Linked DNA regions of Lonchura striata. The main gene of each other region encodes a partner of the protein of the gene in region 2 in a complex. Links are inferred from orthologs where the notes say so. Each region holds a gene or a part of one and is shown on either strand. Other genes may lie near its edges. The genes, in order: TIMM21, COA1, TMEM186 and CMC1.

What was found.
Region 1: COA1 (region 2) and TIMM21 share a complex: the UniProt entries of both Homo sapiens proteins name them as parts of the MITRAC (mitochondrial translation regulation assembly intermediate of cytochrome c oxidase complex) complex. The link is inferred for Lonchura striata from reciprocal best matches to the Homo sapiens genes COA1 and TIMM21.
Region 3: COA1 (region 2) and TMEM186 share a complex: the UniProt entries of both Homo sapiens proteins name them as parts of the mitochondrial complex. The link is inferred for Lonchura striata from reciprocal best matches to the Homo sapiens genes COA1 and TMEM186.
Region 4: COA1 (region 2) and CMC1 share a complex: the UniProt entries of both Homo sapiens proteins name them as parts of the MITRAC (mitochondrial translation regulation assembly intermediate of cytochrome c oxidase complex) complex. The link is inferred for Lonchura striata from reciprocal best matches to the Homo sapiens genes COA1 and CMC1.

Annotation. Positions count from the first base shown.
Region 1 is NC_134603.1:58,092,727-58,099,560, forward strand, and holds the start of TIMM21 (mitochondrial import inner membrane translocase subunit Tim21), read left to right. Parts: upstream 1-3,831; 5' UTR 3,832-3,993; coding exon 3,994-4,270; intron 4,271-5,461; coding exon 5,462-5,524; intron 5,525-5,623; coding exon 5,624-5,721; intron 5,722-6,834. Other genes in the region: FBXO15 (F-box only protein 15), read right to left, coding at 2,888-2,907. UniProt on the Homo sapiens protein: Participates in the translocation of transit peptide-containing proteins across the mitochondrial inner membrane.
Region 2 is NC_134603.1:105,060,042-105,067,230, forward strand, and holds the start of COA1 (cytochrome c oxidase assembly factor 1 homolog), read right to left. Parts: upstream 3,013-7,189; 5' UTR 2,933-3,012; intron 1-2,932. Other genes in the region: inositol 1,4,5-trisphosphate receptor-interacting protein-like 1, read right to left, coding at 6,763-7,189. UniProt on the Homo sapiens protein: Component of the MITRAC (mitochondrial translation regulation assembly intermediate of cytochrome c oxidase complex) complex, that regulates cytochrome c oxidase assembly.
Region 3 is NC_134618.1:6,718,256-6,725,314, reverse strand, and holds TMEM186 (transmembrane protein 186), read left to right. Parts: upstream 1-4,037; 5' UTR 4,038-4,059; coding exon 4,060-4,068; intron 4,069-4,189; coding exon of another isoform or gene 4,190-4,337; exon of another isoform or gene 4,338-4,518; intron 4,519-4,670; coding exon 4,671-5,405; 3' UTR 5,406-6,976; downstream 6,977-7,059. Other genes in the region: PMM2 (phosphomannomutase 2), read right to left, coding at 509-584, 1,003-1,102, 1,770-1,861, 2,438-2,514, 3,446-3,499, 4,190-4,337. UniProt on the Homo sapiens protein: As part of the MCIA complex, required for efficient assembly of the mitochondrial complex I.
Region 4 is NC_134603.1:117,169,707-117,177,047, forward strand, and holds the start of CMC1 (COX assembly mitochondrial protein homolog), read right to left. Parts: upstream 3,012-7,341; 5' UTR 2,964-3,011; coding exon 2,939-2,963; intron 2,853-2,938; exon of another isoform or gene 2,582-2,852; intron 1-2,581. UniProt on the Homo sapiens protein: Component of the MITRAC (mitochondrial translation regulation assembly intermediate of cytochrome c oxidase complex) complex, that regulates cytochrome c oxidase assembly.

The DNA.
Region 1 (6,834 bases), about 47 Mb from region 2:
TACTTTTATACTATACTATGCTGTTTACTTGCATAAACAGCAACAAAGGAGATTTAATCCATGAAACTGAAGGCAGCTAACAAGCTCTAAGGGATGTCCAGATGTTAGTCAGGCAAATTACTTGTTGGTAGAATTACTTTGTTAAGGTTTAGGGCTTGACATGCTTCACTGATTTCAGACCTAGTGGGAGGTTAACAAAGCTTGGGAAGAAGGATGGCCACTGCTAGTGGACATAAAGAATGCAGAATTTACAGGCCACAAGGATACCTGGAACAACTCCCAAGACAAGGAAGAAACTATTAAAGCCAACTCAGCAATTGTGCTGAAATCAGCACCAGCTTCCAGAAGTATGAGATTGCAATCACTGACCCAATAAACTCACTGCCTCAAAAAAGACAAAGACTGAAAATGCAAAGTAATTAGCATGAGAATCATGATCCAACAGAAGATAGAAAAGTAATTAATAAGAGAATTGTCTTACTTGTATCCAATAAAAACTAATTCCTTCCTTAGCTAAAATGTATAAAATAGTAAAATGTTTTATTAGTTGGTGTGCTGGCTTTGTGAATTTGCCACTCAACACCCCCTTCTGTGCAGTACTGTAAAGCTATCAAATACCTTAACCCCGGTGCCTGGATTGGCCTCTTGCATACCACAGTGAAAGAACCTATTTGGCAACATTTCCACATCACAACTTAGATAGAAAGGAAAGGAATTTTGCATATTTCTAACACAAATTCTTACAATCCAACCACTCACACATTTTTCCAAGTTTTCTGATAGGAAGGACTTTGTAAGCTGCAATTGCAAACAAATACTATCATTAATCCACAGAGAAATATGGAGACAGAGTTTCAATCTTAAACCAAATCCTTACACTTCATACCCACTGATGCCACCAAGCAGGCAGAGCTCCCCATTCACTGCATTACTGACTTTAAATTGCCAGCACATTTCCAACACCTGGCCAAACCAGCTCTGGGTTTCTAGGCAACCAATCCATATCGGGGCGGGGGGGGGAAATAGCTAATTTTAAACTATATGGGTACCATATACATTTAATGCCTTCTGGTTTTGATTTCAGATTGATTTATGCTCAGAGAAAAATAAAATCAAAAGAAATTAACAACTCTGGTCTACACTGTCAATGGTGCTATGTAAAAAAAAAAAAAAAAAAAAAAAAAACCCAAACAAGACACAAGACATTTTACTGAGAATTTCTATAAACTTAACAAAAAGACAAGCAGATTTCAGCTTAGGTGTCAATCACTGATAGACCAACTAAGTTAACAACTACAAAAGAGTAGTCTTATAATAAATACAACGTGGACTTCAAACAAGGGTTTTACTCATGTATCATTACCAAGAACTCTTAGATGTTGAGGCACTAACAAACTGCCATTAAGGGGATTTAGAGACACAAGCTGTGCCCTGTATGTTCCAGGGCAGCACATCCCGGGCTATTCTCTCCTGAACAAAGCAGAGTTTGAGCATACTCTATAGGGACACAACTTCACAGACTCCTGCCACAGGACCAATTCAGATAAGAAGCTGGATTCTGGATTTTAAAACACACTACCTTGGACAAGCATAACCTGCATAGCCTGTATTCAGTCCTTCTTGCTCATTTAAATCACCCTCCCTCCTCTTCTTCACTACAGGGAGAAATATATGAGGAGAGGAACATTTTGCCCACACATGCTTTGAAAACTTTAATGTAACAGCTATTGTTTTTGTAAGCTTCAATAAAAAAAAAAAGGCAGAACTTTTGCATTTTCCGAAACAAAAATATTCTCAAGGTGTGAAGAAACAAACAGCAATCCCAATCCATAAATTACTTTTCAAGTACTGTGTGTGCTAAGATTTTAAATTAGCATTCACAGAATGCTTTTACATTGCATTGACACAGCTTGGGCAGATAAGCCTAAGATAAAAATCAATGACAGCTGTTACACCCCCTCTTTAGAGACTTCTAGAACCATTGAGATGATCTTACTTAAGAGGCACAACAAATTCAGTTGCTTTTTCATTACCTTTCAACCTGTGGGGCTGTTTTGTACCAGTATTTTCACTTTCACACCCTATAATACTTGCAGTGTGCCTTGGTTTTTTGATGGTCAGCAAACAATTGTCTTTCAAGTAAATTTCAAATAATGAACAAAAAGTTTTAAGCAATGATAAAACCTGTCTCCTCCACCTGTTAAAGCACATCTGGGGATAAACAAAAATAACGTTTTGACATGGGTTGGTTGGGTTTTGTTCTCTCAGCTAACAATTTCAGTCTTTTTAATAGGTGGGTATTACCCCAATCCATTTGCAGGTTTAAAAAAAAAGGGGGGGTAATACAGCAAGGGGAATGAAACTGTGCTGAAGAAACGGGTTAGCAGAAAAATATGCTTTCTCAACTTTGCCTCTCAGGCTGATGCTTTAAGATTCTGAAAGCTGAACACGTACTGTAAGAAATAAGACAACCACACCTTCCACAACTATTACAAAGGCCTAACCACCCTGAATACACATAAAGCAGCTATTCAACTAACTTCCTGGATATTTATTATAGCACCTCCTTCAAGCTGAAGGACATACCGAAGTTTAAGCTCCCCTTTCCAGGCAGAACAAAAAGTGCCAAACCCAGGCCTCCGTGCAGCTGGCAACACCAGCGTTTTCCCACTGCAAGGTGCCGGGGGGGAGAGGGAAGAGGGAGAGGGAAGAGAAAGAGGGAGAGGGAGAGGGAGAGGGAGAAGGAGAAGGAGAAGGAGAAGGAGAAGGAGAAGGAGAAGGAGAAGGAGAAGGAGAAGAGAAGGAGAAGGAACCAACCCTCCCCTTGGCTGAATGCCAAGCAGGCAGCCCCGGGCCGGCAGAGCCCGCTCGTCGCGCCCACCATTACCTGCCACGGCCCGTCGCCATGGGCGGGACAGCGGCGGCCTCGCACCGCCGGCGGGGAGGGGCGGGAGGAGCCGGAGCCGCCGCGTCCCGCTGTGCGCGCGGCGGCGGGGCGGCGGCAGCCCGAGGAGGCGGGGCGGGGCGCGGGGCGGGGACGGCGGGAGCGTTAACGGCGGCGCTGCCCCAGCAGCGCCTTGTCCCCTTGAGCCTCCTTTTCTCCAAGCTAAACATCCCCAGCTCCCTCAGCCGGTCCTCCTAAAACTTGTGCTCCGGACCCTTCACCAGCTCCGTTGCCTTTCTCTGCACTCGCTCCAGCAGCTCAGTATAAACGGAGGGCTTCATTACTGAACACAGTACTCAAGGCGTGGCCTCAGCAGCGCCGAGTACAGCGGGACAGTCGCCTCCCTAATCCTGCTCACAACACTGGTTTCGATAGAGGCCAGGAAGCCTTTGGCTTTGGCCGCCTGGGCACACACGGGCTCACGTTCAGCAGCTGTCACCACCCCCCCAGCTCCTTTTCCAGCACCTTTCCAGCCACTCTGTCCCCAGCGCTGCCTGCGGTTGTGAGCAGAACCCCACACTTGGCCTTGTTGAACCTCGTGCCATCGATCTCGGCCCATCGATTTAGCCTGCCCAGATCCCGCTAGCCGTCTCCATCCGTGGAAACGTCAACTGCATCGCTTTAATGTGTGCAAGACCAAGAAAAACACGTATGAGAACACAGCTTCCAAAGGGCGACCGGCAGCGCAGGCGCGGCGGCAGCGCCGCCCGCCCTGCCCTGGAACGAGCGGGGTCCCGGCCCGCGGAGGGCGGCGGCGGCGCTGGGCATTGCGGGCGCTGTAGTGACCGCGCTGGGAGCCGCTCCGGCGCCGGGCGGGAGAGGGAGCCCGCTCGAACTACCGCTCCCAGGACCCGCCGCCGCCGCTCGCTGCTCCGCCGTCCCAAACGTTTCCGCCGGGGCAGCCGTAAAGGTGCAGGTGGGCTCCTGAGCTGGAGCAGCGGCCGCTCGGCGCGGAGGCTGCCCGGGCGCGTCCCTGGTGCGGTGGCGAGAGGCACCAGCTCCGTTCGGCTCACCTGCCCCGGGCGAGCCGCTGCGGGGCCGGCGGAGCCATGCCCGGCGTGCTGCCCCGGGCGCTGCCCGCCTCCCTCGGGCGGGGCTGCCCGGGCCGCTGGCTGCTCGCCACTCGCGGGTGGGCGCTCCTGGGCGCCGCCGCCGCGCCCCGCTGCTGCCCGCGGTGGCGGCACTGGCCCCCGCTGCTGCTCAGAGCTCGGAGCTTCGGGACGCAGGCGGGAGGGCTGAAAGCTGCAAAACCTGGCCGGGAGAGCAAAGATGTGTCCGTGCAAAGGGCGCTGAACGAGGAAACGCTGGTGTCGGCGGCTCAGAAAGGTAAGGAGGAGGATGCTGTGTGCTGCTCAGAAGGGCTGGAGGCTGTTCCTTCTGCAGCTAACGTTTTGGAGTTCCAAATACCAAGTATCTAGGAAAAAAAAATATCAGCACACCAAGCGGGTTTCTTTTCACATCGTATTGTTTGGAGCAGATGTTATATTTCTGTGTATGCATTGCACAGTCAGAATTATGTGACTTCTAAACAGCCTGTTCATCTAAGAATTATCAGGCACAAGATGTAATAGCCTCTCATTTTCCCTTTCAGAAGAAATACCTATCACATGTAGCCTGTCTGTACGGCTGTTGATCAAGTTCATCTCCAACAAAATTGTCAAAGTTGTACATGTGATGGTAGTTTCTTTATGGATTGCCTTCACTTTAGTTGGTCTCACTCACTTTCAGTACTTTGAAATGACTTGTGAAAAACTTCATAACTTTGAAATTACTTATGAAAAACTTCATAACTAACTTCAACTGATTAGAAGGCTGCAGTAGAGATAGTTATTAACATTTCCTCCATAACTTGTACTCCACTGAAATGCACACTAAAAGATAGTGGTGGTCTCTTTCCAAGTATTCAAATATATTGAAACAGAGAATCTTGTATGACTTATTTTGCAGCACATACTGATACTTGTACTTTAGATCAAAATTGAAAGATAAAAACTAATCAAACAGCAGTTAATTAAGTTTTTTAAAAATTATTTTGGTCTAATTGTTTTTATTGTTGTATTGATTGCTAATTCATAAAATCAGTTATTTTCATTGTGTGTAGCTTAAAAGCTTTCACTTTTTTTTTTTTACTTCTTTTCTTCACACAAGGATTGCAGTGATTATAGGTTTAGGTAGTAGTGTGAATACTGCAGTGCTAAATACCTCATTAGTTCCTAAAAAGTCTAGCTCTCACACACCCAAAAAGCAGCAGTAATTGCTACTTTGGATCTTGAAAACATCTGGCAAACAGAAATAATAAGTCTTGACACAGAAATGCAAACATGCCCTGTAAAATATAAGAGATGTTCCATGGTATCTTTTACAGCAATGAAGCATTATGGAAACTTACTGGAACTTTTTCTTCTGCTAAAATGTTGTTTGAGCTACAGACTAACAGAATAGCATTTATGTAAGAAAGTCATAGAAGTGTTATTACCCAAGGTTGTAACTTACATGTTGTTTTCTGTTTCATTTCAGTGAAAGAAGCTGGAAGAGACTTTACCTATTTTATTGTGGTGCTTGTTGGAATTGGTGTTACAGGTTATTTTTTAAAATTACATTTTTTATCAGAAGACACTTTTCATTAATTCCATTTGGTTTGATAAGTTTTCATTCCATCTGATGTTGTTTCTGTTACAGGTGGTTTGTTCTATGTGATTTTTAAAGAGCTATTCTCTTCTTCTAGTCCAAATAAGATCTATGGAGATGCCTTGGAGAAGTGCAGATCTCATCCTGAGGTTGGTTTTTGAGCTTTAGACATAAGTTTGTGTCTCTCAGTAGTTACTGTCTCTCTTAAGTCAAAACTTTGCGTAAGGAATCTCACAAGCTATGTGAAGACCCACTTGGTGCTTTAGCAGTTCTGCCAGTGCTTTTAGTTGGCATGGGGTGTGTCAGCTCCAGAGCAGAGCCTCCATTAGTCCAAAACAGTGCAAACATTGAGATTGTGTGAACTAGCCTGCTAGAAGGCAAATGAGCATGCCACAGCACAAAAACTGATGGAAATACAGTCTGCCCTTCAGAGCATGTGCTTGTGTCACCATACAGAAAGTTTTTGGGACTTTTTTGAGTGCCTGTTAAATGTAGCACTTGAATTCTGTGGGTCAGAGAGGCAATTGGTCCCACTAAGCTCTGTTGATCTTATCTGATGCCTTTTCTCAGCACACTTACTCTATTGTGGCACTTCACTATTGTTCTGTCATTCTGTGAGGCACTGCACTGATACCCAGGAATCTAAATTCTTCATTTGGCTAACTGGAAAACAGGTGGAGAACAGTCATGGGATCACACAGTCATCATAGCTAGAAATAACCAAAAATCAATGTGAAACTAGATTTTGAAAATACTTCAGACAAAGAACCCTTCACACAAGATTGCCACAGATGTCTTTGAGGATAACCTAGAAATGAAGTTGCTCGAATAGAAATGAAACTGCTTTGGAACAAATTTGTAGAATTAAAACACCTTCCCAGTACTTGCACAGTAAAACTTAACCTCCTCTTCTAACCAAATTTAAAGTAGGTTTAAGAATAAAGTGATCTACTCTGACTTTATAGATCTGAAAAAAAAGTTACTGAATTTCTAATTCCGTAGTGTTTTTTAGATAATATGAAGGAGAATGCATTTGCATCTTAAACTTTGAAATATATTCTCTTGGAGGAGACATGAACAAATATTTTGTGGTTTTTTTTTTTTCCATTTTTTCATTTTATACAAAATGTCAGTTTACATGTCTTCATCTCAAAGAACAGTACAAATGGAAGATATCAATAGGATTTATTTTAGACATTGAATACAGGACTGAAAATAATAAAAAGGACTGGAATACAGAGGAGTTTTCCTTAAACTGTTTT
Region 2 (7,189 bases):
CTGCTGTGCAGTTGTTAAAAAAACCACCACTGCACCACAGCAGATGAAAGGATTCTGTCACTTATGACATTCTAATACCAGGAAGGACCCTCATAACATGCTAAAAGACAAACAATAAAATACCTGGTGATGCTTTTTCAAATTGCTCGCAACAGGCTCACAGCCTGAACTATGCTGAACTGATAACTTGAAATTTTACTAACATGTTCCAATATTCTTGTGTATCAGGTTGCTTTTCAGAAGTATACTCTCAAGAACTTTCTATTCCTTACAATATGCTGAGCAGAAAAAAGTAAAACTGCATTTTCAAAGGGTTAGCTCCCACACTAGCCTGATGGTCATGTAACTGCTCCTCCCAGAATCTGAGACATAACATAGTCCTTTTCTGTATCCTCCTCAGTTACGCAAAATCACAGCTCAAAACTGTAGACTTAGTCACTAACATCAGCACAGAGAAATAGAAAAATCCAGCCAGTGCCTTTCTTTCCCCCTCTACCCTCCCACTTGCTTGTATATGCAAGATTTTCAAGGTAGGTGTTCACACACTTCACTTGTTGACTTGTGTTTTAGTTGGACAAGCAGGGAGATCTACACATAAAAGTTGTCCAAAGCCTAGAGCCTCCTCCTAATTCCCAGAACCACAAGCTAGGCTGCTACCAAACCATCCTCAGAGCTGCTCTGAGGGCTGTGCTGCAGCCTGGGTAAGGCAGCACAGGCACATGGAGCAAAAGCTGCTGTGCAACAGCAATGCTCACGCAGGGGGAGCTGGGCTGCTTAACAGACAAGATGCAGTCAGGAGTGCTGTCTAAAGATACAGAAGAAAGGCCAAGTGCCCTAACAGCCACACTGCTTAGGGAGGGTGTGAATGGGCCCATCTCTTTGTGTGAGCTCCAACTCTCAAGGTGTCTTAAGTGTAGTGAAAACAACCCCCAGCATCAGCTCTTCTTCCTGCTTGATCTTATATTGTGGTCACAGCAGCAAAGGTAAGGATGTTATTTTGCTCCTCTGGCATTGAGTCAAAACCCAGAAGTTTGTATTAGAAAAGTGGCCTGGAAAATACTGTGTTAACAGACACTCAAAGCCTCTGACTTCTGGGGAATAACCAGCTTTGAAGTAAAATACATTCAGCAATAATCCATGCACACTTCATTAATTTCAGAAATGCAACAGCGAAGCACTACTTAGAAAAAGCTGTAAGATACTAATGAAGGCTTTGGGGTTTATTTTTATTTTTAATCCCAAAAGCTCCTTATCTCCCTTCTCCATGTTTTTTCATTCAATTTACAGTAGTCTAAGTTAAAGCTCATCTAATAAAAAAATGACACATTAAGTTCGGCTAACCTCTTCATCCCCCTCTTGATAAGAATACTTTCTTCCTTGGGGAATAAATGCAACAACTTTACAATTGGTACATTGCTTGTTTAAGATAACTTTCCTTTGCACTTTGTGTTTAATGGAATTTGGCTGATCTGGGCTATTTCAGCAGTTAAATAATTGAGACAGCAAGGGCAGCAATTTTTGCCAAGTCTTGAATAGCACAAGGATCTCAAGGAAGAAAGGCAGCATTTTGTTATCTTTCAACATGCAGTCATCTTTCTCTACCACACCCCCAGTCAAGTTTGAGAACCCTTGACACGGGCCACTGCATGATATGAAACACCGGTTTACTGTTCAAATTTGAGTCAAAGCTTAGACTAAAAACAAAGAGTAGCTGCAGTTTAACACTGGATTTAAGTACAGGTCTGAGGAGTTGCTGCTGGAATGGAGGTGTTCATGCCACTTATCCCGTCCTGCTGCTGGGCTGTGCAGCTGCAGTGCTAGCCATGTCTAGAAAGCATTGATAACACTGGAACAACCAACTTTCAAAAAGCCAGCTGATCCCTAAGCCGGATGCAAGAGGTACAGCACGATGTACAGCTGTGCGGTGGAACAGGGCCACCTTGCTGCCGCAGCCCTCTATTACTCCAGCCTTTGAATCTCTACTAGGAATTTTTGAAATTTGTTTCAACACTTCAATTCATAAAAAAATGTCTCTAAAAGCAACCCAGACCACTCTTCGAGTTACATGCTCTCTTCTTGCACTTAGAGTTCATGTGAATGAGCAGAAAGAAACCAACTAGGCTGGAAAACGGGAGCAACCAGCGTCCCCGATAAGAAGGGACAGGGGAAATGATATTTGCTTCAGTGATCAGAGCAGACTTGAACAGGGAAGTTCCAATCTTTATAGAGAAACATAATAATCTCTTTCCTTTGCAGTGTTTGAACATTAGACCTGTTCAAGACAACCCAACTGCTTCACCAGCTGTACCTGAATAACAAAGTAAATCTGATTCCTCACTACGTGGATGAGTCACTGCAAACAACTTGCTTTATGTGGAAATCGCCCTACCCTCGCCACATTTCTCCGGGATGTGCTCCAGTCAGCGAGTTCCCCACAATACAGGGCACCGCGTGCCTGTGCCTGTTTAAGCAACAAGAGATCTTTCCTGCCGCAGCTCTGATTGCTCTCTGCGTATCAGGTTTTCTTTGTAGCTTCCTAGACAAATTTGCCTCGCACTCCTCTCCCGACGGCGGCTGAGAAGTATCTTAAGTACACGCACCACTAACAGGGCCGAGGGGAAGCGTGCCGAGGCTCTCGGGGCAGTGAGCGAGCCCCGCCCGCCTCACGGCACTGCCGCCCCCACCGCGGCCGCGCCGCTCCGCGCCCCGGTCCGGCCCCGCCGCTCCCGCAGCCGCCGCGGAGCTGCCGTGGCCGGGACTCCCCCGGTACCAACCCCCTCCCGCGCCTCTTTCCGCCCCCCGGGGCCCTTCTGCGCCGGCCCGAGCCCGCCGGGAGGGGCGGCGAGGCTCGCTCGGGTGCGGCGGTGCGGACGGGAGCGGCGGCCGGGACGCCCTGGCCGAGCCCCGGCCTCGGCCGCCCGCCCTCACTCACGGCAGCGCGGTCGCGTCGGGCTCAGGCGGGCGCCGTGGGGGCCGCCATGGCTGCGGCGCCGGCGGGGAGCGGCAGGGGGCGATGGCGGGAGGCGCTGCGAATGGCGGAGAGGAGGGGACGGTGGCAGGGCAGCGCCTGACTCGGAAAGATCCCGACCACACCTGAGCTTGCTGCCCAGATCTACTCTCTTCTGTGGTGATTTATTATTCCTTTATTTATTCTTTTTTCAGGACAAGGAACACCATAAAACCACTCTTGTGCAGTCAAAATTGAAAAAACCCAACAGTGTCTGTCCAGCAACCCCTAAAGAAAGTTCTGAATGTAATCTGGCCATCTCATTTCACACAGTGATATTAGCATTTAATTTAACCACTGCTGTCTTTATCACATTGTTCTGTGTAAGCTGTTGTCCCTGTTGCAGTTTATTTAAACAAGCTGTCCAACAATGTCCCAAAGCTCAGCACTTCGGCTCTGGTGTTTGTCAAGTGTGTGTGTGTTAGCAGTGCTGGATTACATGAACCTAAGCCTTGGCCCACGGCTTTGATTCATCTGAAATTAAATGATGAGTGCATCAATGACATCAGAGTGTGTTCTGCTGCTGTTCCTTAGTGCATCCTACCTGCTTTGATATTTATTGTATGCGTTCCCTGCCTGAGGTGAGTAAGGCATTATGTTCGGGGATATTGCAAAGCCAGTTTGTTCTGTAACCTAAGCAGTTTCCAGCTACTTATTTACACCTGTTGCATTACTGCGGTGATTTAGTGGAATACAGTCTGCTATTTCAGATTGTAAATTAAAACTGTTTCTTCCCACGGCACGCTTCTAGCAGTTTCCAGTCAACTTCTACAATCAGGATTTGGTTACATTATTGCATTGCTTTGTTGTTCCTAACAAAAAAATTAAAAAGTGAGAGGTTTCTATACAAGAGATGAATTGATTAATTCAGATGTTTAATTGATTCAATTAATTAATTCAAAAAATTGAAAAATGGGAAGGTTCTATATTGTAGCAGAATTGATTAATATAACTCCTTGCTAGGACTTGTAATACTAAAGAAATTGTGAAAGGCGAGAGTAGGCAGAAACAGTATGGAAAGACAATCAGCAGAACAAAAGGACATGCAGATATGACCAAAAGAGAGACAATGAGATAGAGAGAACAAAAAAAGGAGTGAAAGGCCCAGCCTCTTACACTCCTAAGAAGCCCTGTTAAGAGATTGTTTTCTATGCAAAGTTACAGCGTTTTTTAATTCTTTCTCTCATCCTACCTTTTCCTACATATCTAATTACTCTCTGAAAAAAAATCTATTTCATACATGTCAGACCTGAAGAAAGATTTTAGGCCAGAAACTTGTCCTCCGTTCTCAGCTGTGCCTGTGTTGGCCTACCTACCCCTGCTGTCCCTTTTTCCCGGTAATTTTGCAAGAACCAAAGCTGTGCAATACCCGTCCAACACTGGTGAAGCTTTATCGGTTCTGAAAGGTGCTTATTATTCATAGAGATCCCCTCTGCTATTTCCACATGGAAGGAGAGACATAAGAGAGACATAAGAGACGGCCAGCATAAGACACCAGTATTACTATGGCCATGCAGGGAGGGCTATTGGTTGTTGCTTCTTGCTGGGCTGGCACTTTCCTCTGCACACTTGTCAGCACCCTAGGGGCCCAAGGCAGGCTGGCCACGCTTCTCACAGCCACCAAAGACTCTGGCCCCAGAGCAGTTTGCCCCTCAGGGTGGCCCGGGGCTGGCTGCCTGTCCCCGGCCAGCTGCGCCTGGGCCGCTGCCTCAGCCGTGAGGGATGCAGAGCCGCGAGAGCCCGTGGCTCTCTGCTGGGCCGCACAGCTGAGCTCCCAGCTCCAGCTGGCAGGGCCTCAGCGCCCAGCCTGTGCCCTCCCGCCCCGACGGCCATGCCAGGCCCTGCTTGCTGCCCTGATGGTGGCACTCCCGGCCCCCAGCGCTCTCCAAGGGCTTCTCCTGGGGCACCTTCCTGCAGCCTCTCAGAGCCTGCACAAAACCCAGCAGAGGCCTGCGCTAGGGCTGCTTACAAGGGCCTGGAGGGACAGCACCAGGGGCAGCGGCTTCCCACTGACAGAGGGCAGGGTTAGGCTGGAGATGTGCAAGAAAGTGTGCCTCTGAGGCTGGTGACAACCTGGGCCACGCTGCCCATGGAAGCTGAGGCTGCCCAGTCCCTGGCAGTGTTCCAGGTCAGGTTGCATGGGGCTTGCTGCAATGTGGCCTGGTGCTGCAAGGTGTCCCTGCCCTTGGCAGCAGGCTTGCAACAAGACAATGTCTAGGGGCCCTTCCAAGCGGAGCCATGCTGTGATTCTGGGATCAGAGGGGGGTCAGGGGCACGTGGCCTTAATTGCTGATTAGAACCAATTCAGCACTGTTAGTTTGGTTGAGTTCGCAGAGACTGTTCACAAGCCCAGATTCCCATCGGGTGACTTTTACCAATACTATAGGTGTGGCTGAGAGCAAGAAAGTCTCGCATGCTCCAGATTCTGCAAAACTGCCTTTTATTGAAACAAGAGCACAGCAGATCCTTGCTTGCTCGTCATGCATGCGCTAACTATGGAGCATTACTACGCATCCAAACAGATCTATTAAATACTCAATTTATATTATTCCACTGTCATATTCGTCATGATGATTTTTTCATTCTATAACATTCCACATATTTGATAAACATTTAATTCTAAACATATTGTATAAAATTACTGTTTTGTAGTAAATACAATATGTGTGTGTATAATACATATTGTATACATATAACTGTACTATCAAAATCTTGCCTCCGAAAAATTCAGTAACTACAGAGTATGAATATGTGTCACAAGAGCCACAAATGACTCTGACATAATAGTGACATCATATACTTGCTATTTCTTTTTATAAAATAATATGATAATTTTAAAGATATTGTATTAAATTACTGTTTTGTAGTAAATACAATATGAGTATGTATAATACATATTTTATAAATATATCTGCATCATCAAAATCTCGCCTCTGATAAATGCAGTAACCACAGAGGATTAATATGTGTCACAACAGCCACAAATAACTGTGGCATAATAGTGACATCCTATACTTGCTATTTCTTTTTTTAAGATAACATGATCATTTCTGAATTATCGCTATAATATGTATCTATTAAAACACATCTGTTAGTAAAAATATTTGTATCAATATATACACACTATAGGTATATAGACAGATATCTATCTGTCTATGCATCCCATTCATTCCTGTCTTTGTCATGGAGCTACAAGCTGGTTCTCTGCCACCAGCTGCAAGCCCCGCGAGCACACGCATCCAAAGGAGGCCAGCAAGGCTGGTGAAGGCTTGGGAGCACAAGCGCTGTGAGGAACAGAGCTGGAGTTGTTTAGCCTGGAGAAATGGAGACTCAGAGACAACCTTGTCACTCCCTCCAACTACGGGAAAGGTGGTTGTAGTCAGGTGGGGGTTGGTGTCTCTCTCCAGGCAGCAAGTGACAGAACAAGAGGACACAGTCTTTAGCTGTGCCAAGGGAAATTTAGGTTGGACGTTAGGAAAAATATTCTTACTGGAAGAGTGGTAAAGTACTGGAATCGTTTGCCTGGGGGAACTGGTGGAGTCACCATGCCTGGATGTGTTTAAAAAAAGGTTGGATATGGCACGCAGGGTCATGGTAATAGCTAAGGTAGTGTTAGGCCATGGGTTGGACTCGATGGTCTTAAATGTCCCTTCCAACCTAGTGATTCTGTGATTCTCTAATGCTGTGATTCTACGTGCCCCGCTAGCAGCGGCCAGAGGCCGGCACTCTTGCCAGGCGACGGCACAGATCAAGGCCTAGGGGTGGGCAGCCAGATCCTGTGGCAGGCCGTGGAACAGGTTGGATGGCCTAGCCCTTTGTGTATCTGGGGGCAAGCGGAACTCCTCCGGAAGCCTCTGGCTGCCCACTGTAAAAGGCTCCAGGGGTTTGCCTTCCAGAGATAAGTGCAGCTGCTCCAGAGCATCCGACAGCTGCAGCAGGAAATGTCTCCTGTGCCTCTGCGACGCCGGTACGGTGCTCAGCAGGCGCGTGACATTGGTCTTGATGGAAGGGATGGAAAGGGCCTTGCGCGCAAGAACACGGGCAAGGAGCTGCAGGCATTTAAGGTGTGAGTCGTCCTGGGGAGCCGGCCTGGCCATGCGCCTCAAGAACTTTGTCTCTGCCACGCTGTAGGTCTCGGGCCACGTTGTGCTTGGGGTGTGGGCCCCTCGATGCTGGCTGCTG
Region 3 (7,059 bases), on a different chromosome or scaffold from region 2:
TCAAAGGCAGGAGTGTGGTAATATATTAGAAGAGACGGTGAAAAAGCAAAATGCATAAAAAATTAATTCCCCCTTATTGTATTTTTTTTTTCCTTAAGCTTGCACTTGCTTTTGGATTCTTTCTTTTCTCCCACACAATGCAGGTATAGCTGAAGAACCAAGGGCAACTGGAACAGCACTGAGGGAGTGGTTCTGATCAAAACTGATTCACAGAAACCACTCTGACTAATCCAATGCATCTAATATCCTCCAAAATGAGCAGAATCAGTCACACAACTGACATTAAAGGACAATGAACTGATGACAAGACATGAAGTGCTCTTTGTTGATGGATTTCAATTAAAATGTCCCAATAAAAACCTGAGAGGAAAAAGAGGCTCAGTCTTGCAACCACCCCCAGAGAGACCTGTCAGACAAATGAGATGGGATGTCACAGCCATAAGAGAATATGACTTAAATGAAATTTAAATTGATTGATATTTTAAATGACATTCTTTTAAAGTATTACCTATTGAAAATGTGAGGCCTTTGCCTGCAAATTCTCTTTGTAGATCAGCTACAAATTTCTCTCTTATATGCTCCTTCTGTTAAGGAAAAAAGAAAACAAAACCAAACAACAGTTACATGCTGTAACTGTGTTGATTTACCAATGAAAAGATAACCCAAAACCACCTCTAAAAAAGAATGGTTTTATTGATTTGAATGGACCCAGGCTGGTTACACTATAGAGGAGAAAGTATGGTTTTACCTAGGACAGGGTTTTCTAGAAACCCCATGAAGCAGGATGTTCAGTGCCTGGATATTGGATTAAAAACATGAGCCAAACCCACCCTTCTGCAAGTAATCCCTGCTATTCCAACAAAAAACCTCACACTGTCTATTTCCTGAGGTCTGAATGAGGAAATTAGTTACACCATATGGAAAGGATTTAAATTACAAAAAAAACTTGCACAAATTATAAAAGTTTTTAAAACTGCCTTCTCCAGGAGAGCTGTAACTCACTTTATCAAGTTCATAGAACTCAAGTCGTTCTTCCTGGCTGCAGCTTCTTCCAATGGGGGACACATTCAACATCCCATTTCGGAACTCGATGAAAGTGCCTCTGCAAGGGAATTGATAACAAGACAGAAAATAGATGAGAAAATTTGCTCCAAACACTACATAGCACAATAAATTTCCATTTAATTCTAAAGGCAGTGAGAATCACCTGTCTCACTACTGGTACCTCTGGCACCAGTTAGTCTTTTGAACTTTGAATATGGCAACCTCCTCATCATCCTTACTGGCTTTTAGAAGTCCCATTTGGTTTAACAAGTGTGACTGGAGCATCCCATCAAGCTCAGAGCCTGACAGGCCAGGCTGTCAGTGTGGGTGAAGCTGCAGAATTCACAGCAATGTGGGCAGTGTTCCACCCAGCACATTTCAGTGTCTGCAGCAGCTGCACCTCACACATCACACAGAGCTGGTCTGGCTGCACTTCTCATCTCTGGAAAACACTATGCTGCTGAATTCCAAACATGGCAAGGGAACACTCCTACTTCAAACTGAATCTCCTTCCCTCTAACACAAAAGTGCCAAATTAGTATTTCAAGCCCTGTACTCCAGCTGGGAGCTTGTCTTTGTATGCTTGGACAGAGCTCTGTTTCACACACACAGTGCTGTTTCCCAAGCAGAAATTCCTCTTTTTTTTCTTTTGCTGAGCACCCTGAGCTGAGCTTTATATGCCCTATGGAGAACAGGGTCACGCTGAGATGTCTGTGTGCACATACCTCTTTTTTGGCAGCTTAATCTTTGCAATGTAACTCAGGCAGTAGTTGATGACTTCTTGAAGGATGTCCTCGCCCAGGTGGCCCTGAATGCTCTAACAAAACAAACACCATTCAAACAAGGGTCCAGAATTTGAGATTCTAAAAGCAAGTCACAAGGAAAACACAGACATTGGGTAATCAGGCATGGTTAATACCACAGAAGAACAAACATGCCTTCAAACAGTGACATCAGCTGATGCTCACATGGTACTAACTAAAGGCTCTCATTTTGCTTTTTGTTCACTTTATAACACCAAACTGTCCTTTAATATGATCCTACTTGAACCTGCTTCAGAAGAAAACTGTGCCACGGGCAGCAGCCCTGAACAAAAAGCTGCATTTAATGTCTGTTACAGCCAAGAATGAAGAAAAGGAGCTTGTTCCTGCAGTAAACTGGAACCACTGGTCAAGGCAGCAAATTTAGCCAGGATCTCTTTTAAATGTTTACTCTCCATTACTTATGTTAAACATTACATGCCAAATGAATGATCCATTAACAGGACTAACATATGAAAGCAACAGCAATTTTAGTCTTTGAAAGGGTGATTACAGAGGACTACACTGTACAAATAAATCAAAATCTTGTTTAGAAAATTTCTTTTTCTCACTATTGGAAATTTCACACTTACCTGCTTGCTCAGGAATTTCCCATCTTTGTATGCTACAAGGCCATTTTCTGAGAACACATAGTCATATTTTTCAATCACTGCAAACAAGCAAAAAGACAGTAACTCATCATTTCCCCTCAATGCTTAATGCAGAATTGTCTTAAATGCTAAATTGGTTAAAATACAGCAAACATTAACTCCTAAAGCATGAAAAGTTTCAGCAGCATAGCATCAAGCACAAGATTAATGCTAGTCCCATTCCTCACTATGATCAGCACACACCTCAGATCACGTGAAGTCATTTGTTTGACTTACCTTTGGTTTTACTTAGAGGCATATGACTCTTTACATTAAGTGTAAAGGAATGCCCAAACACGTGGCACATGGCCTGGCTAGAGAGCAAGTCAGATACTGCCCTTTAGGTTTGTTTCCTCAGTGTCACTAATCTTCAGCAAATGTCTGGGAGTTGCGAGTCTCAGCACTACACAAGATGATGATGATATGGTTGACTGGAGACCACTTGGGAGGCAAACGAACTCGGCTGTCTGGGCACTACAGGAGTTATCAGTGGCATCAATTGAGTAAAGAGCATTAAGAATAAAGGACTAAGCTAAGGCAAGAGTGCATCGCTGCATCAGAACCCCGCACTGAACAAAAGCAGGTCCTGAGGGAAGTGCTGACAGCGGACAGCCACGCGTGTATGTCACACACAGGACTCCACTGTACACACAGTGTGAAAATGCCCTCCCAAGGCTGCCAGCGAGGCAGGATTTCACCATCAGCAACAATCCCTTAATTTGATCTACAGACAGCGGTGCAAGCAGGCTGCGATTCCCAAGGGCCGGTTCGCAGCTCCCCACAGCCTGGGTGCACCACAGCAGCACCAGGAGCCAGCTAAGAGCGAGGGAAGAGGGGATGAGGAGCTTCAACCTCCAGCTGCCCTTCACCGCGGCCCGGAGCGCGGCCCTCACCGTCCTCGCCCAGCTGCTCGCGGATCTTGGCCAGGTCCGAGCCGCCCACCACTCCCACCTTCGCCTTCTGCCGCAGCCGCTGCAGGAACGCCGCCATCTCCGCCGAGATTTTCTGCGGTCCAAAACAGAGCGGTCAGCCGTGCCGGAGCCCAGCGCCTCCATCCCGCCACGCCGGCCCACACGCGCTGTGTCCGCGGCGTTCCGAGAGCCAAGCGCGGACACGCCGGGCCCCGCGGAGTGCCGCGGAGTGCCGCGGAGTGCCGCGGAGTGCCGCGGAGTGCCGCGGAGTGCCGCCCGCCCCCCGGGCTCGCAGCGCGGGCCGCACTCGCCTGCCGCGGCGGTGTCAGGGTGCCGTCCACGTCGAACAGGCAGAGCGCGGCGGGCGGCGGCGCCATGGCTGCGCGGGGCCGCGCCTCCCGGCGGGGCCGCGCCTCCCGGCGGGGCCGCGCCTCCCGGCGGGGCCGCGCCTCCCGGCGGGGCCGCGCCTCCCGGCGGGGCCGCGCCTCCCGGCGGGGCCGCGCCTCCCGGCGGGGCCGCGCCTCCCGGCGGGGCCGCGCCTCCCGCCGGGGCCGCGCCTCCCGCCGGGGCCGCGCCTCCCGCCGGGGCCGCGCCTCCCGCCGGGGCCGCGCCTCCCGGCGGGGCCGCGCCTCCCGGCGGGCCGCGCGCGGGGCCATGGCGGCGGTGAGGGCCCGGGCTGCCGGGCGGGCTGGTCCTCCTTCTTCTCCTTCCTTCTCCTCCTTCCCCCTTCTCCTCCTTCCCCCTTCTCCTCCTTCCCCCCTTCCCCCCTTCCCCGTCTCCTTGCCTTTCGCCTTCTCCGTCCCGCTCGGTGACGGCTCCTCGCCCGCGTGCTGCGGCGCGGCGGGGGCAGCGCGGAGCTTCCCCTCCTGCCTTTGCTCTGCAGTCCTGCGCCTTCCCAGCGTCTGCTCCCGCTCTCCCGCACCGTGCTTCATTTTTCTTTCCTGTTCTCCTAAATCTGCGGTTTAAGGGGTTATTTAGGGAGTGGGCGGTTTCAGCAGCTTTCCCTGGGCTGTTGCTCAGACGGCGAGAGGCAGGGGCTGTGCCAGGCTCGCTCGCTGATAGCAGCTGTGTTAGCGAGGATTTCCCTCGGTCTGCAGGGAGGGATGCGGGCACAAAACCAGTTTCCTGTCAGAGCTCTGGTTTAAGGTCACAGTGACCCGGGGGTTTGCTTTACTGGCTTTAGGCGCCCGAGTGACCAGCTCTGAGCTCTCAATTGGGCTTTAAAGAGCACTCAAACGATGACCTGTGGGCATCTTACCTTACAGGCTTGGCTCTGCACTAGGACTAAAGCCTGCACGGCAGCAGCTTTTGGGAGATCTCTACAGAAGGAGCTCTGGACAAGGTCGTGGAGAAGGGAAGCTGCTCGCCGGCCCTGGATTTTTGGTTCGTTGGAGTGTTTGCAGTCACAAACCCAACGAGTTGATGGTGTCAGTAATTATCTCAGGAGACCGCGAGAGCCGCCTGTGTGTCTGTCCCACTCAGCCCCTGCTGCAGTGCTCCAGCAGAAGGCTGTGGATGGGCGGACAGAAGAGTTCAAACTGGTCTACAGGTTCCCAGGGATAAAATACTGCAGGGTCCTGTCAAGACTGAAGCTGCTGCAGACTGCCACCTCCATGGTCATGCTGCCTCCCATCTGCTACCTCTACCTGCAGGGCCAGGTGTCTCAGAATATCCTCCTCTATACAACTGGCATCGCTGTCTTTGCTGGGGCAATGTTGTATGGTATGAGCTACTTTTTCAGAAGAATTATTGGATTCATCTACTTAAGTGAAAGTGGACAAACTGTCAGAGTGGCCCACTTGACATTTTGGGGAAGACGTAATGATATTTACTGTCCCATAGAGACAGTAGTGACTTTGGATGAAGTTGGAGATAGCAAGGACGAGCTACTTCACCAGTTCAAACGGTATAACAGTACAGATACTTTGTATTTTACAATTAAGTATGGCCAGATTGTAGACAGACAGAAATTTACTCAAATATTTGGAGAATTTGTGTGACACAGCACCTCATTTCCACTGACTGTCCATGTTCATTGTGCTTATTGTTTCATGAGGTTTAAGTAGTTTACCAACCTACACATCCCTGTCCTTTTCCTGTGCAAAGCCTGCTGTAAGTACACCCAGTGTAGAAAGTCACAGTGGTAAGGCACAGTCCACTGGATTAAAGGTCTTGCAGCTTGTATATGGTGTGAGGAGTGTCTGTTCCATGTAGGATTCAGTAATGTCACAGCATTCCAAGCCTGGACTGTCCAAATTACTGGAGCTGACCCTGGCTGTTTCATTCTATTGGCCTCTTTGGTGGTTATGAAGCATGAAAAATCTCTTGAAACGAAATGCAGGAGCTGCCAGAGCATCCTCACTTCAAACTCAGTGTTTCTTTTAGCTAATTTCAGGTTGGCTGGGAAGCCTTTGTAAATTAAAGCTGGTCTGGTACATCCATAGGATGGGTACAGCTGAATGTCAGAGAGGGACATGCTCAGGTGTTAATGCCATTGAGAGAACTGGGAAGGTGTGTGGGCTGTCCTGGCCTCAGGAGGGTCCTCCAGGATGGGAGTGGAACTGGGCAAAACAAGGGTGTGGGCTACAAGAGACAGTGGCAGCTCAGCTGGTAAGTTAAAGGCAGGGACAATATTTCAGGAGCCTCTTACAGAAATTGCCATTCTTCATTGGAATGGGAAAAGCAGCACCTGTCTCCATGAAGGACTGTGATTCCATGGTACTGGTATGACTTCTCCTTTTCCAAAACCTCAGTAGAAATGAGGAATTTAAACCCAAGAAAGAACCAAACATATCACCTATAACATGTAACACATTTTTTTGAATTGTCAGAAGCAAGATAACTCCTTACACCCCTCTTCTAGCTTAATTTGAAACTGGCAAATAAACTGACTCTCACCAATAGTCTGGAGTGTTCTTTCCTTATTTTTTCCTCATATGGAGTGAAACCTCTGTTTCTTGGCAGATCAGCAAAGGATCAGTTAAGTAAAATTGCCATTTAAGTGCACAGGGTAACCCTGAATTACTATTTCTAACTTTAACTTTTCCTAGTGGGGTTCTGTGAGTTTAAATTTTGGCTGACACTGTCTAGCACAGCAGTATCAGAAGAAATCCAAATGTTCCTCGGTGTAAACACCATGGCAGCAAAATACAGTGGGCTGTACAGGTATACTGCAGTTTTTGGAGGTTTATCTTCATCAGAATGTATTTAATATATGCACTAATGGTTCAGTTTAGTAGTGGGTGTAAAAGAAAAAGCCCTGGAGAAGATCAATTATAAATATTTTATTTAAGAATATTGATTACACATGATTGATGTCATTTGTTATGAATCTGTGTACAGTTACTAGTTACACCATGAAGTGTACTTAAGTATTTGTTTAAACATTTATTTGGCACTGTCTACAGTATGCTGTAAACAATATTAACTTTATATGCTTCAGCTGTAGTGCTTTCTATGTATTCTCTAACGATTCATCAATATGTTGTACACAATTATACAGTTACTGAGTGTCAGTAAAAATTATAAAAACACCTAGAGTAGTCATAATAAAAGTGAAGATGTGGTAAGACTTCAAATTACTGGACCTTTGCTTCTGTAAAAGTACAAGACTTGCTAGAGACATTCACTAAAACTACTGCACTGATATGTTGA
Region 4 (7,341 bases), about 12 Mb from region 2:
TTCAACTATGGATCCAAACATCACCACCTGAAAATGACAGCTATAATCAAGTGCATATTAAAAATAAAATGAGTTTTCTCATAACCCATGGCCTCTGCTCCCAAAAGCAGCACTGTACATAGCTTTGAAAGTGCTTCAAATTTGATGCTGGGCTGCAGCACATTGATTTTGGAGAAGGATAAAATAAATAGTGTAACATTTTCCTAAACTGGGAGAAGCTGTTGACTCACTCAAAGGCAGAGAGACCCTCCAGGAAGACCTAGACAAATTAAGGGCTGAACAATCACCAACCATGTGAAGTTTAACACAGTTTAACACCTGGGATGGAGCAATTCTGGATGTACAGGCAGAGTGGGGGAAAAGCATCTGGAGAGCAGCACTGCAGAAAGGGACCTGGGTGTCCTGGTTGACAGAAAGCTGAATGAGAGCCAGCAGTGCCCTGGCAGCCAGGAGGGCCAGCCCTGTCCTGGGGGGCAGCAGGGACAGCATCACCAGCCAGGCAGGGGAAGGGATTGTCCTGCTCTGCTCTGCACTAGGGCTGCCCCACCTCAAGTCCTGTGTGTTTTGGGCATCACAATACAAGGATATAAAGCTTTAGGAGAGCATCAAAAGGAGAGCTACAAAGTGGTGAGGGGTCTAGAGGAGAGGAAGGGCCTGAAGCCACTCAAGGAGCAGCTGAGGTTACTTGTTTGTTCAGCCTGGAGACTGAAAGGAGATCTCACTGCAGTCTACAGCTTTCCCACAAGGAGAAAAGCAGAAGCTTTAAGCTGAGTTAGGGGACGTTTTCTAAATTAGATATTAGGAAAAGGTTTTTCACCCAGATGGTGGCTGGGCACTGGAACAGGGTCTCCAAGGAAGTTCTCAGGACCCAAGCCTGACAGAGTTCAAGAAGCATTTGGACAACACACTCAGGCACATAGCGTGATTATTGGGGAAGTCAGGGCCAGGAACTGGACCTGAGGATCCTTGTGGATATATTTCAACTCAGGATAATCTGCAATTTTATGAACATAAAATCTTGTGAACATGTTTACTACCGATTTATTTATTGGATATAATCACCTAATGACACAACCACAGTTTCTTCCCAAACTATGGCTATCAAAAAAACTCCTCCCATACAAATCACAACATAATTTACAGGTTCTACAATCTGAGTTTCAGAGGACTCCTTGATATTCACTCCCTACTGCCTTTCAAAGCCATGAGAATACTTGTGTCTTTTGTGACCATAAAATGAAGTATCAGTCATGGTAACAATTTACAGAACTGTGATACTTCTGCTTTTTTTCTCATATATGAGCCAAGAAGCAGTTAACAATGCTTAAAACATTAAAACCTACCACATCAGGGTATTTGTGTTAACACCTTCCTAATACAAACAGGGCAGCTCACACCTCTTGCAGCTATTGCTTCAGTTTCTCTACTACCTCACTTAGACATCTTCATGTTTTGTACATTCTGAGGTTTTCAACAGAGCTGTATAAGCCAGAAACTGATGGGGAGTGCGGGGAGGAAAGCAAAAGATAGTGGATAACAAGATAGCAGATTTAGAGAGGTGTCAGTAAGCAATGTCACTGCTCAGGAGATGAATCTCAGTATTGGTGCCACACAGCAGGTACCAAAAGTACACCCTTAGCAGTCCTACCACAGCTAAGGTAAAATCACAGTATGGTTTGGGAGGGACAGATAATGTCATTACATGCATAAATATGGAAGCAGAATGCTGATGACTTCAGTGTTCGGTGCCATGGCTTTTGTTCTGCACTGAAATCACAACAGGTTGAATTGCTGGGATTAGCTCAGTTGGTTACAGCATGCTGCTAATAACACCAAGTTGTGGGTTTCATCCCATTTTGGACCATTTACTTAAGAGTCAAACTCGATGATGCTTGTGGGTCCCTTACAACTCAGCCTATTCTGTGAATCTGTGAATTAACTAATGTAATAACTAGGCTTTTTCCAAACGACAACCAGGAGGTGAAATTACGCTGTAGATGATCATCTGCCACTTGAAATACCACGGTAAGTTTTATAACGTTTTCTTAACTGAATAACAGATCAATGTTTAGAGGATACTATCAATAATCCCAGAACTTGACTATATGAATGCCTTGTTTGCAAGGCCTGGAGACCCAAATCCAAAACAGGTTTGCATCAGAAACTCAGAGCCTGGCCTTGTCCAGCATCCTTCGGCTTTTGGACAAGCAGCCACAGGCAGCAGGGACGGAGGTGCACAGCCACGACCATTGCAGGTTACCACCACCTGCGGGAGACTCAACACCTCGCGTTAGCTGGAGGGAATAGTCTTTTAAGACACCAAGCAGGAGACTCCTGACTCGGGAACTCTGGGCATAGTGAATAAACACTACATGGGTATAAAGGCCATGGGTTTACATTCACTCCTGTAAACACGTGTCTACAACCATTCGGACAAGACCCCGGTAGCACGAAGCCGAGGACATCACAGCCTTGGTGCTTTGCCTTTACGTTTGTTACGCAGCCAGCGAGGCTACCGCAGGCACCCGCGGCGCCGGGACGCCCGGAGCCGCCTCCGCCCCGCGTCCCGGCGCTGGAGGTCACGGCGGCGGCAGAGAGGCAAGGAGGGAACAGGGAGGTGGCGCCGGGAGCGCGCCGAGGGCAGCAGGAACGTCCCAGGCCACCCGGATCCTCGCGGAGGCCGGGAAGGAGCCCCCCAGGGTGGCCCTTCCCAGCACCCACAGGCTGTGCGCCTCAGCCCAGGCTACCGCCCTCTCCGGCGGGTGTGAGGGGCCGGCGGAAAGCGACGGGGGTTTCCCACAGGAAGCCTCGGCGAGGCGAGCGGCGGCGGGGGAGAGGAGGGCGGAGGTGAAGTGAGTATCTCTGTGGGGACTCTCCGCCGCGCCGCCGTCCTCCCTTCTTCCCTCCCTCTTTCCCGCCCGCCGTCGGCCGCCCCTACCTGCGGCGCCGGGGGCAGGCTCCATCTGCGGCCCCGCGCGGCGGCGGCTGCGCGCGGCCCCGGCCCTGCGGCGCAGGCGCGGCACGGCCCGGCCGCTCCCGCGCTCCGCCCCGCGCCGGGCGGAACCGGGGGCGGGAGCGCGGGGCCGCGCGTGTGGGCGTTTGTGGGCGGCGGGGCGGCTCTGAGGCGCCGCGGCTGGGTTCGTGCGGTGTGAGTCACCGAGGGATGGCAAAATCACAGAATGGGTCAGATTGAAAAGGGGTTGCGCTGGGTCATCTGGTCCACCTACCTGCGCAAACAGGGTCATCCTAGAGGATTGCGTCCAGATTGTTCTGGAGTATCTCTAGTGAGGGGCGCTCCACGCCCTCTCTGGGTAAGCCGTTCCAGTACGTGGTCCACCCGCACAGTAAAGAAATTCTTTGTCATGTTCAGGTGGAATTCCCTGTGCATCGGATTCTGCTTGTTGTCTCTAGTCTTAGTCTTTGGTACCACGGAGCAGAGCCTGGCTCCATCCTCTTGGCACTCCCACTTTAGATATTTATATTGATAAAGTTCCTTATCAGATGTTTCTTCTCGGGATGGAGCAGGCCGAGCTCCTTCAGCCTTTCCTTATAAGAGAGATGCTCCAGTCCACCAGTCATTGCCCTCAGCTGGATCCGCCACAGCAGTTCCATGTCTTGTACTGAGGAGCCCAGATCTGGGCTCCCAACAGGCCTGGGGTGAGCGCCAGCTTCCCGGGGAACCTCGAGGAAGCCTCTGTATGTGTCTGTGTGCAGCCTCTGACAGGGACTGGTGGCACATCCTCCAGCCCTTGGGGTGATCGAGGCTTCCACAGCAAGGACTTGAAGTGGCAAATGAGAATTTCAGTGGCTGTTTTTATCGATGAGTTGGTTTCTGACCATAAAAAGGGATTTCGAGTCAGCGGGCAAGAGGTCCCTTTTCACGCCTCAGCATCGCTGGGACCACATTCCTGTTACAGCGGTGCGGTTGACAGAGGAACTAGGAAATCTAGTGTCCCTCCTGCAACTCTTTAGTTGGGAGGCAATATATTTGGTTGACCAGCCTTCACTTATTACTTGCATGAAACAAGAATAACCACTTTTTGGGACACAAAACACAGAGCAAAAAAATTAATTTAAAAAGTAATAAATTGTCAGAAATTGTCATGCACTTAAAAACCCAAGAACATGATTCCTGAGAAATTGAGAGAAACGAGAAGTAAGGAGACATATCTAAAACTTGGGTCTTGTTTTAACAAATACAAGCCATAATTTTCAGATAGCCTACCCTCTTTTCCTATCTTTAACATTTTAGACTGACAAGTGATATAAAAAATCAGTCATTTTATGCAGTAGCCTCTTAAACGAGGCTGAAAAAATTCTTCCAAATGTAGCATTTCCTCTGTTACCTGACATTGTTACTTTCTATTCAGTGGAAAGGTGTGTTTTAAACATTGCATTCTCAGGGAAGTGAGAAACCTAGGAGCCTTCCCCAGACTTCCAGATTGTCTGCCTCTGAAAGATAATAAGCAGTCTAAAAGATTCAGTAGGACGAATGTAAATAATGCCATGTTATTTATTATTAAAATTATTTTCCATCAAAGTTTCAAGGGCTGTTTTTCCCCAGATTGACATTATTTTCCCCATTTGAAAATTTTGTCTCTTTATTAGAAAATGTGTTGTTTCAACTTGAGGCCACACTGAGACCCAAGTTCTTGTTGATACGTTCACAGAAATTAGTAAAATTAGTAGAGCGTGATGTAGGCAAAATCTTCTACATGAATGCTTTTGGCCTTACTGATCTAGAGCATTTCTGCTTTTTACCATTTAGTGCCTTTATGCTTCTCTTTTTTTAACAAGAAGTTTGATCTCATTCCTTAGAGTAAAATATGAATATTACAATTGTTTTCTGTAACTTTAAACTATACCATTTCAGGTAATGTTTATAAGCTGTTTTGAGAATTTTAATTGAACAAAGCAATGGAAATGCAACATGTCAATTTATTTATATTTGTTTTATTAAGGGTTTTTGTCTACACCACTTCTGCAATGATATAAGAGAGTGTTAAAAAAAAAAAGATACCAGCCAATCCGCAAAGAGTTCTTATATTATCTACAAAGAGAAAATACAAGAAAACACGATGCAGAGGAGCTTTCAGCATGAGAGCCAAAAAAGGGGAATGTATGCTTTCAAAGTAAGTTGAGTCCTTTAAAAAAAGGCATTATTTAAGTTAGTAATTTTTGCTGCTCTTAAACTCTTGGCTACTGATGTTTTATATATGCCCTGCAAAATTAGAACTCTGAAAATTTCTTTTACTGATGAAGATCTTTGAACTTACATGTCAGCTCCGTGTGTTGTGTTAATTTGATCAGTTTCAGGCCAGAACTTTGCTGCTTCTTTCATGGAAACAGTACCTGCAGAAATAAATGTCCAATAGCTTTGTAGCTTGGAGAAGTTGTCCTCTGCTGCTGCTTCTTCCAGTAGCAGCTCTGGAAACAGGACTTTCTGGGAGTTTTATTTCCAAGTCTGACAGACAAGAACGATGGAAGCTGAGAAGGGCAAAAGAGACTAAGACACACCTTGAGGAAATAAGAACAAAGGAAAAAAAGTTGATAGAACAACTTTGTTCTGGAGATTTGAGGGTCAGAGATAGTTTTTGAGGGAGGGCATATGCAGCTGTGAGTCTGATAACAGTCTCATGCTATTTGGGGCTAGTAGAAATTATCAGAAATGAGAAAGTATCAGAGAAAGTCTTATCTTGACAGATGAGAAAATGAAGCTGACATGCAGAGCAGAAATGGCATAAGACAGTAAGGTAGCAACTGTCCACAAAGAGCTTTAAATTAGGATAAATATCTTGTGTCTGACTTGGGAGCCAGTGCAGTGATCCCAGGAAGTGGCACATTGGCTGACTTAATGACACAGTAAAATTATGTTCTTACAGCAGCTTAAATGAACAGAAGCAGAACAGTTTTTGCCACCAGAAAAGAGAAAGTTACTGTGTGAGAGACGTGAAGTGTTAGGTGCCATATCAAGAATTTTCATACCACAGATGAAAAAGCACAACTTTGTCAATACATGTTCTTCATGGTTTTATATGCAGTCTTGATGTTAGTAAGATCATCGACTTACATAGAGAAAAGATAAATTTACTTAATTCATTCATGTGGAAGTGCCTGTGAAAATGAACTCCATCCTGTAGGAGCATCCAAGGGTATAAAGGGATGGTTTAATTAAAAAAAAAAAAAAAAAAAAAAAAAAAAAAAAAAAAAAAAAGGAAAAAAAAGTGCAAAGTGGGTCTCCCTTAAACATGAGGTCTAACTTATATCTTGTCCCAGGACAGAGTTTTGAAATGACACCTGGAGTATGCAATTTGTGTTTAGTCAGATCTTTTTAAGTATGAACCTTGCACAACCTGGGCAGCCCTGTGAAGTTGTGCTGAAATGTGTGGGGTATTTGCCATGCAGCACTTTGATAAAAGTTCATACCGTATGCTTCGTTTAACTGAGACACTTATCTGGTAAACTTGCTTGACTGGGACATCTCCTGGGGCACTGGTGTAAGACCAGTACTACTTAATACACACAACTGCTACTTAACAGGGCCCTAACAGAACAGTGGCTACTGCTTAGTGCCCCTGGTTATTCAGTGCTGCTTATGCCATCTCTCTGTCAGAGTTCTTGGAATTTGTCTATACAAAGAAAATACTCCCTGCAATTAATTCCCGTAGAGTAAAATACTGGGTGTAGTAGTGGAAATAAACTGATGATGGTGGCTACAATTTCTGCACTGATTGTTACAGTGCGGAAGATGTGATAACTTCCCCTATGGTCTTGAAGGATGCTTGAGCGAATGTTTGTTTTATACAACTTTTAAAACCCTATATAGTCAGAAGTAGTAGTGTTGGGTTACAGTAATTTCTGTGTTTCTAAGATTCATATTGTCATTTGATTAGCTGATCGCCCATTTTCCAAAGTGTGAACATATTTTCACACTTCAACCAAGACAGTGTTAACAAAGAAACTATAGATAGCAATAGAGATTAATTATCTATCCCATGAGTCTCTACACCTTGTTTTTACCAGATAAAGAGAGCCTATCTGTCTGCACACAGGTGTGATTTTTTTTTTTGACAATAGCATTGGTCAAATGAGTTCAAAGGCTTATCTTCAAGTAGCACTTCTTAGACATGTTTGTTCGCTCTTGACACTTTTGATCTTGTTTCATGAAATACAACTTCCAGTAAAGGGTTGTGATTACCCATGTGAAATTCATTCATAGGTGCGAGATGTGGGGGAGCTTTAAATAAGAATATTTAGAATCAAATAAACTTTTCTTTCTTTCCTGGAGGGAAAGTACTCTTACTGAAGTCACTGCAAAATTGTTGAGGGCCTTATTTGCAA